Linked DNA regions of Rattus norvegicus. The protein of the gene in region 1 interacts with the protein of each later gene in a pairwise test. Links are inferred from orthologs where the notes say so. Each region holds a gene or a part of one and is shown on either strand. Other genes may lie near its edges.

Region 1 (6,558 bases):
ACGGCGAATCGTGCTCCCAACTCACCCATTTAGGAGGTGGAGGCAGGATCAAGGTTCAAGGTCACTGTTCACTATACAGAGAGTTCAAGGCTAGCTCGACTCCATAAGATCCTATCTTTTAAAGAAAAGGAATAAATAAATAGACTAAAATAATAAAATCAGAAGTCACTGCCTTAGTATTTTCCCAGTAGATCTTTGCTATTTAGGCAAAATATATCAGTGGATATGTGCATACAGTAGTTTGTGTATATGTATGTATGTCTGTATAAATTACTTGGAGGCAAGCAGATGTATTTGTATGACCCCTCTTTTTCTTCATTAACAGAGCAAGTGTTCTCTTCACACATACTGGAACCAATAGCAGAACTTTCTTCAGAGGAGGAAAAAGGTAACAGAGCTCTGAGGTTTACTTGTTTACTCAGATCTAGACCTCGGAAGTACAAGCCTGTGCCATACCACACACCATACCCAAAGCAAGAGCGACCCTTATATGAGGGCCGTAGATTCGACCTGTGTGATATACTGTGCCATGTTATCTTGTTCCCCTAGTGTTCCTAAATCTTATGCTTTGTGGAGGCTGTATGCAGGTAAGTTAATAAGAAATCTCTTATGTCAGGAAACTTAAAAGCAAAGCTCCTTTATTTCAGTACAGATACTCCCTGACTGGCTGACAGAGTGACTCCTGTATCGTATACCCGATGATGTGAAACTGTGCCAGAGTAACTGTCTCACCGTGTTAGTCTGAAATGAATGAGTACAGTTTCCATCTCCAAATACTGGAACTCAGAGCTTGCACACGCTAGACAAGGGTTCTACCTGGGAGCGGTAGCCCGGTCCCCTAATCTCTCTTAATGTCAAAAATGAACACAGGATGTAAGCACTGGGGACGAAATAGAGGAAATACCTTCAGTGTGCATGCAATGTGGGAGCTGTCATAGGACTGAGTTGATAAATTATTTTTGCTTACATATTTCTTTTTGGCATTCCTAAAAAAAATCACTTTTACATATCTTTTTTTAAACTTTACGAGAAAGTGTATATCATTGCTTTCTGAGGCCGGATTTCATGTTTTCCAGCTGTGCTTGAAGTCTGCGTCCTCCCCAAGCCCCGTGACTCCAGGTGTCTGCTGTAAACAATCAGGGTTCTTTGTGGGACTTTGTTTTGTTTGTTTTCTTCTAACGGGGCCTCTGTGCAGCCCCTCGTTGCTCTGGAACTCACTCCATAAACTAGAGTAGCCTCGAACTTACAGAGATCCGCATGCCTCTGCCTCCTGAGTGCTGGGAACAGTCAGTTTGACAAGGAGTGGTTTCTAATGTTTGACGTCATTTCCGAAAGCATGCCGTTTAGACAAATTAGGACAAGAACACCTGCTCTGTTAATGAAGACCAAAAGGAGTAATGCAAAAGTTTCCTTCCAAATAATTTTATATATATATATATATATATATATATATATATATATATATACATATGTATATGCAAACTACTATATATACACATCCACTGACATATTTCCCCCTGATCAGTAATTTTTTTCTTACCGGGAATAATGCTTCACAATTTATCACCTCTTAAGGAGGAAGCTATTCGGTAATCAATATGAGGGTTCCGTTCTTAACCACTTCTGTCAGGAGGGGAGGTTCTGTAATCTTCAAAAAAACGTCCTATTGTAGTTTGTCATTGTGAGTGCCGTGCTTGCAAAGGCCAGAGGAGGGCGCTGGAGTCCCTTGGAGGGAGAGCTATGGGCAGCAATCGGCTGCCTGACGCGGTCACTGGGATCTGAACCCAGAACCTCTGGAAGAGCAACGTGTGCTCGAGACTGCTGAGCACTTCAGCCATAACATGTAAAATTTTAGTAGTTCTTATAACTCCTGGGCTTCCTGGGATTTTACCACTCTTTCTTATTTTTATAAAGCTACAAATACAAACTGAAAATTGACTAAACCAGTCCTGTTCATAATATCTACGTGGTACATATGTCCGAGTCTTGGCGTTGCTGCGTTAATCATTGGCACTTCTGAAAAACGTGTCTTTTTTAATGAGGTATATTTTCATGTGTCTTTACGAGTTGCCTCTAACTTTTTACTTACTAGCTCCAGTGTTAGCACGGAGAGTCTGGGAGCCCTACCCTGGCTGACTAGACAGCAAAGTGGTGTGCCTTAGCATTCACTAAGTTATCTCCTCAAAACTTAAAGAAATTTAAAACAAATTGGACCTCTTCTCTCCCTAAGATAAATTCTAAGTAAGCCTAGGGACATTTTGGGAAATACTCCCACTGATAAAACATTAAAGAAATATATATTCTATCTACCTCTTAAGTCGATCAACTCTAATGCGGGTGAGCAGTAAGGAGTCTCAGAAGTCACTCATGTTCTGAGGGAGACTTACAGAAGCTGAGATACCTAAGCCTTATGAAATTAGTCAAGACCTCAACATCTTTACAGACGTTTACTTCCTGCCTTAAAGCTGCGCGTTTTGATTTTCTGCTTGGAATGGGTTTGTATAATTCTCTTTAAATCTTCTTCTTCTTCTTCAGGGCGAGAAAATGAGCAGAAAACAAATAAAAAGACGCATGTAAGGAAAACGCCAAATACCAACCCGACCCCTAAGGAGCTGAGGACCAACCTGGAGAAGGAGCTGGGGAATAAACTGAGAAGCTTCGGGATCAGCGAGGTACGTCCCTCGTTTTCTGGACATTCGCTCCTTTAGATTCCACTTTCAAAATCAGGACACACAGAGAGAAGAACAGACTTCTTCACCCTGTCGGAATTCGGAGACTAAACGCTAAGATGACTCAGGTTAGCAGAGCCCTGCGTGACACTCGCTAGAACCTGGTGTGTGTCTAAGACCTCAACAAATCCAGACTTACTCATAGGCGGGGGAGTAGGACTCAGCGTCAATGTCATTATGACTTGTTTCAGAGGGAAACTGGGCTAGGTTCCCGCAGCTGGAGGAGCCCGAGGGTGCGTCTGGGTGCTGCATAGTATTCTGCGTCTTGCCTCCTCTGACGATGCTTCTCGTCTGTTTCGTGCGCGAGCAGTCTGGCCTGTATTTACTCTACTATAGCATCTAAACGCATTGGAGTTTTAACGCTCCTTTTGAGAGTGGCTGTGCCAGGTTCCTGTGTGACTCTGAACTACTACGCCTTTTCTGTGAGCATAGGCAATCAAGACAGGCATCATTTCCCTCTTGGAAGCATTTCTAGGAATGGCATTGCTGGGTGAAGAGGCAGCCGTGTTTAACGTCATAGCTGCAGCTGAATCGTTTTATCAAATGCGCCAATCTACGCTCCCTCTCAACGGGCAGAAGGGCTCAATCACTCCAGGTCTTCAGTCAGTTGTTAGTACCGTCAGTCTGTAATCTCCACATAGACTCTCTGTGGGGATTCTTAGCCCTGCTAAGGCCAGGGAAATCAGAGACATCTGTACAGTGTCACGGTTCCTATACAGACGCTCTTGAGACTAGATTTCTGTGCTTGCCGTTCCCATGGGTTTCCTGGGTTTTAATTTTGATCAGAGCCTCATTTATGGTTTTTCACCTAGTGCTTGGAAACATTTCTGCTTGTTTCCTCTGCGTGCATGTGTGCGTGTGTGAGTGCACATGTACACATATGCACTCACGTTGGTTCAGGATTAGATAAGTTTGACTCGATTTCCAGTTGATGGAGTTGATATCATTGCTTGTGTGACCCTGGTTTCCCCGTTCATTCGAAATCACGCTTCTGTCACGTGGAAACCCTTGCATGCGTCCAGATCTGCTTTGGACCTTCAGTGACTTTTCCTTGTTTAACTCTTCATTCACACTGACTTTCGAGTCAGCAGACTTCACTTCATTCACACTGACTTGACCATAGGAGCCTGGCCTTCCCCTGCCTTGATGGGCTGTGCTTGTGCAACGCTAGTGTTACTACTTCAAACGCTTGCCAGTTCCTATTGCTCTTTAGAAAGACACTCCCACTTCTGGATCAGCCATGTTTGGGACACTGGTGGAAACTATTCGAAATTCCGGGTGTTAATTAGGAAAGGCCGACAGCTGTATGACATCAGATCCTCCCCACTAACTACAAGGTGTAGGAAGGCAGACATTAACCCTGACGATTAAAGAAAGTGTAAGAAGTCCTTGACCCTCTGAAGAGACCAGAAGACATTGGGCAGATCAGAGGAACAGCGGAGGATAGAGGAAGCGTGGACATGACACTTCTCTGGTGACAGACACCTCCCTCCTGGGCCGTGTGGGGTCATGACAGGGAGCACAGAAGAGAGGGGAGGTGAAGGGAGACTGGGGAGAGGAAGTGCTCATGAGTGGGGCATTAGTGCAGAACCAACCCTGGAAGTAAGAGTACCTTCCCTTCTGCCTGCGTCCCCGTCAGCTACAGAGTCCCTCGGTCACCTCTGAATTCACACTAACATACTTCAGCTGTACAAGACACGCCCATAACTGCACAGCTCTCCTCTCTGCGGATGAGTGCCGAGCTCCAAGGTTGGCACTCAGTTTCTTCTCTTTGGTCTTGTCACACAAATCTTTATAGGGTGAGCCCGTGGGACATGTCTACTTCTATCCTGCTGTCCTGTCTTTCTCACAAGGCGTCCTCAGTTGCCACTGACTGACATGCTAATGCCAGTCTTCATGAGAGCGCAGCTGAGCGCCTGCCCAACCCCCTTCACCGTTCTCTGAAGGCCAGGGCCTCTGACAGCCTTTCTTCTTGGGATTCCTCTAGTCCTGGTGGCTTCACTTGCATTCTGTTGTGGCTTGACCAGCCATAGACAGGCACAGCTGTATTGCAAGCTCCTTTTAGAACCAGGAGAGTTTGTTATATGCTAGATCCCATACCGTAAATGACCCTGGACCCCAAAAGAGCAGAGTTACTGCTGACGTACGTCTACGGATGAGAAACCTCCAAGGTTGATGATAAGGGATTGACACAGTACCTTACTCCTTCAGAATATCCAAGGTATTCCATGCGAGATCTTGAATAGATCGCTTAAAGCCATGCAAGTAGCCAGACACGACCTAGCAAAACAGGTGCCCGACATTCAGCAAATTCGAGAAAACCTGGAGCATCAGCTGATCTGTAAAATGGGAGAGAGAGCATCACACTCTTCAGGTAAGCCCGCCGCTGCCGCCTGGCACTCCACAGCCACAAAGGAGAGCCAAGTTTGACAGCCTTTCCCACGTTTGTAGACTTTGGCACCGGCTGCTCTCTTACTGCCTGTACTTGAGATGCTGGGTCTGACTCCCACCTTGGGGTGGATGACTACCTGTAATCTTAGTGCTCAGGAGGTGAGGGCAGGTAGACCAGGAGTGATGCAAGGCCAGCCTGGGCTACAAGAGACCTGTCTCAAAAGAAAGGGGGGAAAATCAGTATAATGAAGCCCTTGTTCTGGACCCCAGACCTGAGAGGCGCCCTGTTCTTTTCCGTGACTTAGGGATAGTGTACGTTTAGTTAGACTTTACGCTTTACTGTAAAGGCAGCAGAGACTCACAAAGGATACTTCTCTTCCAGATAGGCGCCATGCCCCTCCCATGGCCTCCTTTCCACCCGAAGAAGTACCCAAAGCAACCCAGCTTCCCCCCAGAAGCAGACCGTTGGTCAGGCAGAAAACTATGTTCACTGATAAAGCGTCCGCCCCAAAGTGAGTATTTCCAACTGTAAGGAAAACAAAAACACTGCTTTGCCATAGCCGACTGAAGTCGCTGTAATCATACATCCTGGACTGGATCAGCAGAACAACAGGGATTTGTGTTGGAGGCTGGAAGTTCAGAATCAGAGTGTCAGAGGTCAAGTTCTGTCTCCAGAGCCATTGTGTCCTATGTCCTCACACGGGGAACAGGCTCTGGTCCCTTCGTCTTTCAGAGGCAGTGCCATGGTTACTTTTCAGTCGCTGTGACAAAGCACTATTACCAAAGCAACTTATAAAGAAAGCATTCGATTTGGGGCTCACGGGTCTGGAGAGCTAAGAGTCAAAGACCATCACAGAGGGCAGTATGGCGGCAGTATGGCGGCAGGCAGGCAGGCATGGCAGGCAGGCGTGGCTCTGGAGCTTTCACTGAGAGCTTTCTTACAGCCCAGCCCACAAGCACATGTGGAGAAAGCTAACCAAGAAGGGCTGGGTCATTGAAACCTCAAAGCCTGTCTCCAGTGACGCACCTCCTAATCTTCCCCCTTTGCCAACTGGGGACTAAGCGTTCAAATGTTTGAGCTCATGGGGGCCATTTTCACCCAAGCCACCACAGGTAGCAATGCCATCATGGGGAGCCAGCCCTCTGACTCCATTTGGCCCAGTTCCTTCCCAGATTCCTGCCCCTGGATGTCATGACACTACAAGTCAAGTGAGTGACTACAAGCCTTGAGTCTGCAGCGATGAACTAGACTCATCCCCAACTTCCTTGTAGTTTCTGATCGATGACCAAAGACAGTTTGTGTTTTCCCATACACATTTGTATTGACTATATCATTCCCTTGTCTACCTCCTTATTTATTTATTTATTTTTTTAGACTCAAGAAAAATACCAAAGAAAGTCATTTTCTCAGAAGGTTTCCAGCTACCAAGTGAGTACT
Region 2 (7,352 bases), on another chromosome or scaffold:
ATGCTTCCAAAAATAGTCCAAAATTAATTTAAGAAAGATGATGAAAAAATAAGGGGGATATGATCGTAAACAGATATTCTGAAGATGTTAGCGTTAAAGGAGAAAAGATTTCTTCATGTGAAGACAAGTACTAGACACAATATTTAGCAATTTTTCTAAGTATACTCTTAAATAGTAAAAAAAAATTAATTATATCTTGTAGATGGGATATGACAAGTCGGAAAACAATCCCAAAATAACTAAAATGTTATAACCCATTGAAGCATTTCTCTTAACTTACTCAGATGAGTTTCAACTTTTATATTTTCCCTATTTACAAAGTATTGTGTGAATATCCATGAACCTTAAACATTAAATGGGGGGGGAGAAGGGGAGGAGTGCCCCTCCCCAAATCAAAACAACTTAAAAAAAAAATTCTGTCACAATTCACTCAGAAGACCACATACCTCAACAAAACAAGAGCATACATTTCCCCCTAATTCTAAGAAGGCTACTTCAAGCTACTTCTTCAGTCAGCATTAATGTTCCGGTCTCAGTCTTCAGAGATCAACAATGAAACTGGATGATTTTCCAAGTTTTTTACTTCATCTTTTTAAAAATTTGTTCGTCGTTTGTTTGCTTATTTATTTGTATATGGGTGTTCGTCTGTGAACCACTTGTGTGCCTGGTGTCCTCACAGATCAGAGGAGGGCTTTGGATCCTCTGGAACTGTTGTTAGAGAGGTTGTGATCAGAACCTAGGTCCTCTGGAAGAAGAGCCAGTGCTCTTAACCAGTGAGCCACCTTTCCAGCCACTCTGCCTTAAGAAGAGTTCGATCTCAAAATCAGTTTCTGTTCTTTGCTGTTTATTAAGAGAAATGTGTCTGTATAGCCATAATGACAAACTTCCTTTTTTTGGTAAGAAATTATTACTACAGGCTGGATAGATGGTTAGAAGGTTAGAAGTATGTACTACTCCCAGAGGACTGCAGTTCGATTCCCAGCACCTAAGTTAGAGCTGTTCACAACCATCTGTAAGATCAGCCTGCTCCAGGGCATCCAGCTCCCGGGCATCCTGCTCCAGGGCATCCACCACCCCTGAGCTCTACAGACAACAGTACCCATGCACCTCATACGCATAATTAAAAGTAATGTTCCGGAAAAGCTTTTATTTAAGTACTATTAATAATTCTACATTTAAAAATATTTTAATCTGTATTTCAAACACAAGAGAATGGAGGCTAGCTTTATTACAGGCACTTAAATTATTTCATTTAATCCCTCCAATCCAGGGAGATAAGGAAAATAACCCAGGAAGATAAAAAAACTTTCCACCCTGACTACCTCTCCTGGCCAGACTTTCTCAACCATACCACTTCAAGTTTATGTAAAATGAGTTTACAGCAAAACTACTGGCATTTGACCAGAGTCCCAAAGTCGGACAAAGCACCATCCAGATAACCACAGGTCCGAAACTAACCCATTTAAACCTCAAAAAAAGATATTTGTGAAAATACACTGAGCCCCAGACTGTCAGATAGCAGCCTAATAGCATTACCATAGTAGGTTAAAAGGCACATAACAAGTGTCAATGATACAGTTTTAGGCTGTTCCAGTTGTCATGGACAATACTGGTTCATGTGCTCTTGTTTTGTTCTCAAAGATAATTATTTGAAATACTAAGCTGTACGTACACGGAAAGGACCAGCTATTTTACCAAGCCAATCCTTTCAGAAATTAAGCCAAATTAGGCTAAACACACTGAAAGGCTACCTTTTTTAAACAAGTCCCCTAATTGTTCATTACCATATAAGTGTTAGGCAGAAAAACCTACATGAACGTAAGTTTCAGATCAGAAACAGTGATTCCCACATACTGAACCTGGTTTCATTTTCTGGCCCTCGGAGGAATTACTATTTATTTTTAAATCAAGCAACCCACTCACCTACAGGATTCTGCGAAAATAAACTGAAAAGGTTGGATTGTTTTGTTAATCCTTACTCACTGTCTGCTTTTAAGAAAACGACTTGGCACCCTTCCAGTTTAGATCCATGTGGACAAAGTATAAAGCAAGCAGGTTGGCTGATATAAAATACGTGAAAGATCTTGGATGCCCACAGATATCTGAATCACTCCACCGTAAGATTGTATTTCAGAGCAGTAAGAGAAATTCTCTCTCATACGAAAGGGTTTTCTGCTGTTGTTTTTGTTAAGCCCACAAATGGGGGAAAATACTACTGACAGAAAAAGCTCACCACACGGTGGTATCAAGGGCACTGCCAAAGTACCAAGTAAAACAACTAAATTAAAAAAAAAAAAAAAAAAAACAACAAAAACCAAACCAAACCAACCAAACAACCAAACAAAAAACCCAAAACACTTTTCAAGCCTTTTGACAACTGAATTTAAAGCTGTTTTTCCTACTGAGGGTTTTATTTTCAAGTAAAACGTTGTACTTCCTCAATTGAATCTGCACCAGCTTATCATGAATAGTACCTTATGAGGAACACTATACATGCAAATGCCTGAAATTAACCTAGGGTTTCAATTTTTTTTTTTTTTTAACTACCGACCAAATTCTATACCTGAAAACATTGGCCATACCTGCTACATCTTCAATCAAATATCATGTAACTTTGAATCTGATTACTGATCTGTGAATTTGCCAGTCTTAAAGGCAAAATCTATCACAGAGGCATCTCTTGAGACTAACCAGATGTTCAAAATTCAATTATTAGATCAGAGGAACTAAGAAGTACAACACTAAGAAGAAAACCACGTTAGCAAATTAAATACATATGAAAAAATGCTAGTATCGAGACTTTTGAACTAAAATTAACACGATAAACTAATTAAAACCAATCAAAGAATAAAATAACTTTTTAATTTAAGTATAAAAGCTTAAACCTCTGAATAGCAATTCACTATCCTAATAGGTAGGACAGGGTTACTTTTCGGCTCTGGCTGCACTCCACTGACTGTGCTGTATCAGTTTGAACAATTCTGGCATGTTAAAGGGCAATCAATCAACAAACGAGACAGCACACACCAAACATAAACTATTTTCCAAAGTCCGTGTGAGTCTACCCTGTGGTACGTCCTTGATTCAGAAGCACCCCTAGAGGCAGATGTAGAGTCTAAATGGGGTTCCAAGCTCTTGCTGGTCAACTGTTGATTTGATCTAGGGTTTTCTTTACACTCCTTGCCAAACTAAGTGAGGATTCATAGACTCAAAGACAAATCACAACCAGATTGGCCTTGAAAGGGATGCTGGATCTTTGTCAAACGAATTGAAAAATCTGCTGATCATTTATCTATTTTGGCATGAGTCTTTAATTTCTTGGCCTTGTAAATCATTCTCTAGGTTTCTATCAGGTTACAAGAATTTCTTAAATATCTAGGAACGTGATTATCGTTTCCACTAATGACATCTAGCTCATAAAAGGCAAGGATGTGAAATTAGTAAATCAAAAGATAGTAATTCTCAAAGAATAAGCCAGAACCAGTAAACAACTCGTGAAAAGTCCCCAAACGTGGTGGGAAAAGTAAGTAAGCCAAAAGGGGTGCCAAGCATTCCTGCGAGGCATTAGGCACGGATACCAATTTGAATTTACTTACAAAACCTTACAAAAGTCCTTGGAAGCACAGCCGTGCGAACCAAGTTCCCGTTGCACTACAAAGAAACACGATTCCTTCATAACCTCTCCAAAGACAATCGAGGTCTTCTATGAAATAACATTTACGTCTAACGAGACTGTAAGGTGTCACTTGGTCCCGGTTTCAAGCTAGTTCTGTATAGCTAAACCTACAGGCCAGCTAACTCGGCAGCAGTTTGTTCGGACCCTGGATGTGGCGACTGAGGGACAAGTAGAGAAAGTGATGAACTAGCTAAGCGTGGAGAAAACCAGAGCCGAGGCTCAGCGGAGTAGGGAGTAGGGGGACTGGACGACGAAAGGGAACGCAGGTACCTGGCGACCCTGGAGTCGCCAAGGCAGGGCAGGTGGGGCAAGCGCGCAGGTGGGAAGGGGAGTGGGGCTTGCTCCGGGAGCGCGGAGCAGGGGCAGCTGGGGTTACCTTTGAGCTGGGGCAGGGGGTGCAGCTCCGCCTGGCTGCCCTGGCTGCGGAACTGCGACGAGCCCTGAGAGCGCTTCTGCCTCTGCGCCTTGCGCACCGATTTCCGGGTGAAGCCGTCCACTTTCTCCGAGGCCGAGATGGCGGCGCAGGCAACTGGTGCGGGCGGCGACGGCGACGACATCTCGGCGACCCGGGCGCTCGGCGCCTGCCGAGGCGACTGGCCCGGGAAATCGGCGGGGCACGGGGACGGGCACGGCGAGCCTGCGCCCCTGCGTCCCGGGCCCCGGCCGCGCCGCCCTCGCGCTCCGCAAGCTGCTCCTCACCCGACAGCGCCTCACAGCCGCATCCCCGCGCCGCGAGGCCACCTCCCGGGGCTGGCGGAGGGGAGGGCGGGGGCGCGCGGGCCGCACAAGTTGCTGACGCCCGGCGCCGAGGGCGGGCGGAGGCGAGCCCGAAGTTTGGACGGCTGGGGAGAGCGCGCGGGTGCGGACGCCGGGCGCGCCTCGCGGCCCCTTGGCGCGCCGAGCCCGGGCAGATCCTCAGCGGCTGCTGCCCGCGCCGTCCGCCCGGCCGGGAGCCTCCTCCCGGGGCGCTTCCATCGCGGGTCCGCGCGAGCTGCCGCCGAGCTCTCGTTCTCCTGTCAGCGCTGGCCCCTCATCGCCCGGGGCGGCCACCCGCGCCCCGATCTTTGGAGAGTCGCCCTCGCTCAGCCTCCCGCGCCCACCGGCCGCCCACGGAGCACGCCCGGGGTAGCAACTGCTACAACTTGAGAGGGTGGCTGGTACGGGCGAGGGGGGACTCCGTGCGCGTGCGTGCGCGCTCCCGCGGCCCGGGGGAGGTCCTCGCGGGGGGTGGAGGGAGGAGTTTGACTGACAACTTCCGCGGGGTCCCACTAGCCTCCCGAGTCTCCGGAGGGGGCCGGGGCGGGAAAGCATGCCAGTTCCCTCGACCAATCGCAGAGCTAAGCGGCAGACGGGGAGGGGGCGTGGCCTCCCGGATGTCTATCAAGAGTCCATAGCTGGGTGGGAAGGAGGGAGGGGGCTATGTGACAGACGCGGGCCACAACCAATCGCAAGTGAAGTCAGTGAGCGGGGTGCCTTGTGCGTCACAACTGTAAAGGAGAGCTCTCAGGAGGGAGAAAGGGGAAACGCGGCGCCGCGGTCGGCTTCCGTGTACTCTGGCGCTACGCTTCAACTCTAATTGTCCTCCAGACAGCGAGTGAGAGGGAAACTACACAGTCAGCTCAAAAAGCAGAAGAGTGTCCCCCCCTTCTCTCTGCGTCCTGGGGACCAATGAGGACCTAAAGCGAGGGCCGGGGCGCCCAAGAACGCCAGGCATTGCGTCAGTGGAGCGGGGGCGGGGCCGAGGTCGTGTCAGAGCGGAGTGATTGACAGGCCAAAGAGCCCGGGGAGAGGAATGAGCTTGTCCAATCGGAGCGCGGTGCTAGGCTCCTGGGCGGGCCTTCGTTCTCTCTGGTCCTAAACCGCGTAATTGGTGGTTGGGGAATCCATTTGTAGCTCCCAAGGTCTCGGCGCCGCGGTTCACTGAGCGCTGATCTCGCGTGGGGTTTGGGCAAGCTCGTTTCTACCACTTCAGAGAACTCTGCAAGTCTACTCCCTCTGAAAAGAAGTTTCCCGTCTCGAACTTAGCCCAAGTTTAGCCTTCAGTCATCTGTAGCCAAGTTCAGATTAGCTGATTTGGGGTTTTGGGATCTCTTCCTAGGAGATTCCGTCTAAGTTTTATATTTAAAGCCAAGGACTGCTCATGTTAGCTTTGGGCATCCGTATGAGCTTCAACAGTAAGTGATCTCCCCTCTCCAATAGTCTCTGCAGTCTCTCCTGCAAGTCTTACACCTTTTCCTTTTGACATAAAAACTGAGGTGAAGTAGACTGGCCTGATGTTCGAGGAGGATCGAGAAGTATGCAAAAGTAGAGTTCTAGACCCACACTCGAAACATTCCCTTAGCTAAATTATATAGCCAACCTAGGTGTACAACAGAGGAATGCAAAAGGAAATATGATGTGTATACAGAATTTTCCCACCATAAAGAGCAAAATTATATCATTTGTAAGAAAAGAGGCCCAACCGGAGATAATCATATTAGGCTGATTAAGCCAGTCTCAAAAACATAAAAACATCTTGTTTCCTCTTGTTTGCGGTTCCTAGATTTTACATAGGTATGTTAAATCAAGAATTTGCAGAATGAAAGTAGACATGAAATTGTCTAAGGGAATTAAAGGGATTAATGGAAGGGGAATATGTTTGATGTACAAGAAATACTTGTATGAAATTTCTAATATAAAATTAAATATAAAAAACAAAAAGTTATATACATTCTTTCCATCAAAGAGGCTCAGTCAGACTGCATCAGCAACTTCAAGACCTTTCTTATCCAATCCAGACTACCTCACAATGTTCAAAGCTTTTTTTTTCTTTTAACAATTTGCAAATGAACCACCCATCATAATTCAGGGGTTTGAAGATCACTGCCAGCTGGCCTTTCAAAGGGCCAGTTTTACATATATTTCCAGATTATAATATAATTAGATCATTCCCCCTTCCCTCCAAACCACCATTCTTGCATCTCTCAAATTCATAGTCTCTTTTTCTTTAGTTGTTTATGTATGTATATATAGAGATAGGTATATTCCTAGGTATATAAATAAGACCTGCTCAATCCCTATAATGTTACTTGTACATGTATGTGTCAGGGGTGACCATTTGGGATTCGATAACCAATGAGTGTGCTCTTCTCCAGTTCTCAGCTTTTCTTAGTTACATGTAGTTCTTTGTCTTATGTCCCTGCAGAATAGAGTTCAAGTTCAGTCTGACTCCTGACTTGCCAGGCATGTGTATATGCTCTTCCTCATCCTCTTTTTCTTCTAATCCTCTACCTCCTACTCTTCCTCCTCCTTTTCCTTCTCCTCCTCTTCTTTCTCCCCCTTCTTCCAGTTCAGGCACACTATCCCACAAAGTCATCATGCTTTCTTGATACTTAGAGTTGTTCCAACATCTTGAAATGATCCACCTCATCCCCGTTTGTTGAACCTTCCAAGCCCAGCTAGACACCTATCCTCTGTGAAGCTATGCACAATAATCTGCCCTGAGTGGATGTCTCCCTTAGTGTTCCGATTGTATATATTATTCATATCCTCAGGACCTGCCACCCCAGATGGCAGTGTGCTCCTTCTCCTCTGAAGATTCAGAAGCACCAAGAAAGCAGGAACTGGGTTACTTAACTGCTCTTAGCATCTACTGAAATAGATAGGCACTATTGAACAATACAATTTTCAGCTCTCA

The links.
Region 2: the proteins of Dzip1 (region 1) and Ppp2r5a interact in binary tests that used the Homo sapiens proteins (3 or more experiments, as listed by UniProt). The link is inferred for Rattus norvegicus from reciprocal best matches to the Homo sapiens genes DZIP1 and PPP2R5A.

The regions. Positions count from the first base shown.
Region 1 is NC_086033.1:102,374,172-102,380,729, reverse strand, and holds part of Dzip1 (DAZ interacting zinc finger protein 1), read left to right. Parts: intron 1-325; coding exon 326-388; intron 389-2,535; coding exon 2,536-2,672; intron 2,673-4,940; coding exon 4,941-5,103; intron 5,104-5,502; coding exon 5,503-5,632; intron 5,633-6,495; coding exon 6,496-6,549; intron 6,550-6,558. UniProt on the Homo sapiens protein: Molecular adapter that recruits protein complexes required for cilium assembly and function to the cilium basal body.
Region 2 is NC_086031.1:105,502,358-105,509,709, forward strand, and holds the start of Ppp2r5a (serine/threonine-protein phosphatase 2A 56 kDa regulatory subunit alpha isoform), read right to left. Parts: upstream 4,411-7,352; 5' UTR 4,234-4,410; coding exon 4,053-4,233; intron 1-4,052. UniProt on the Homo sapiens protein: The B regulatory subunit might modulate substrate selectivity and catalytic activity, and might also direct the localization of the catalytic enzyme to a particular subcellular compartment.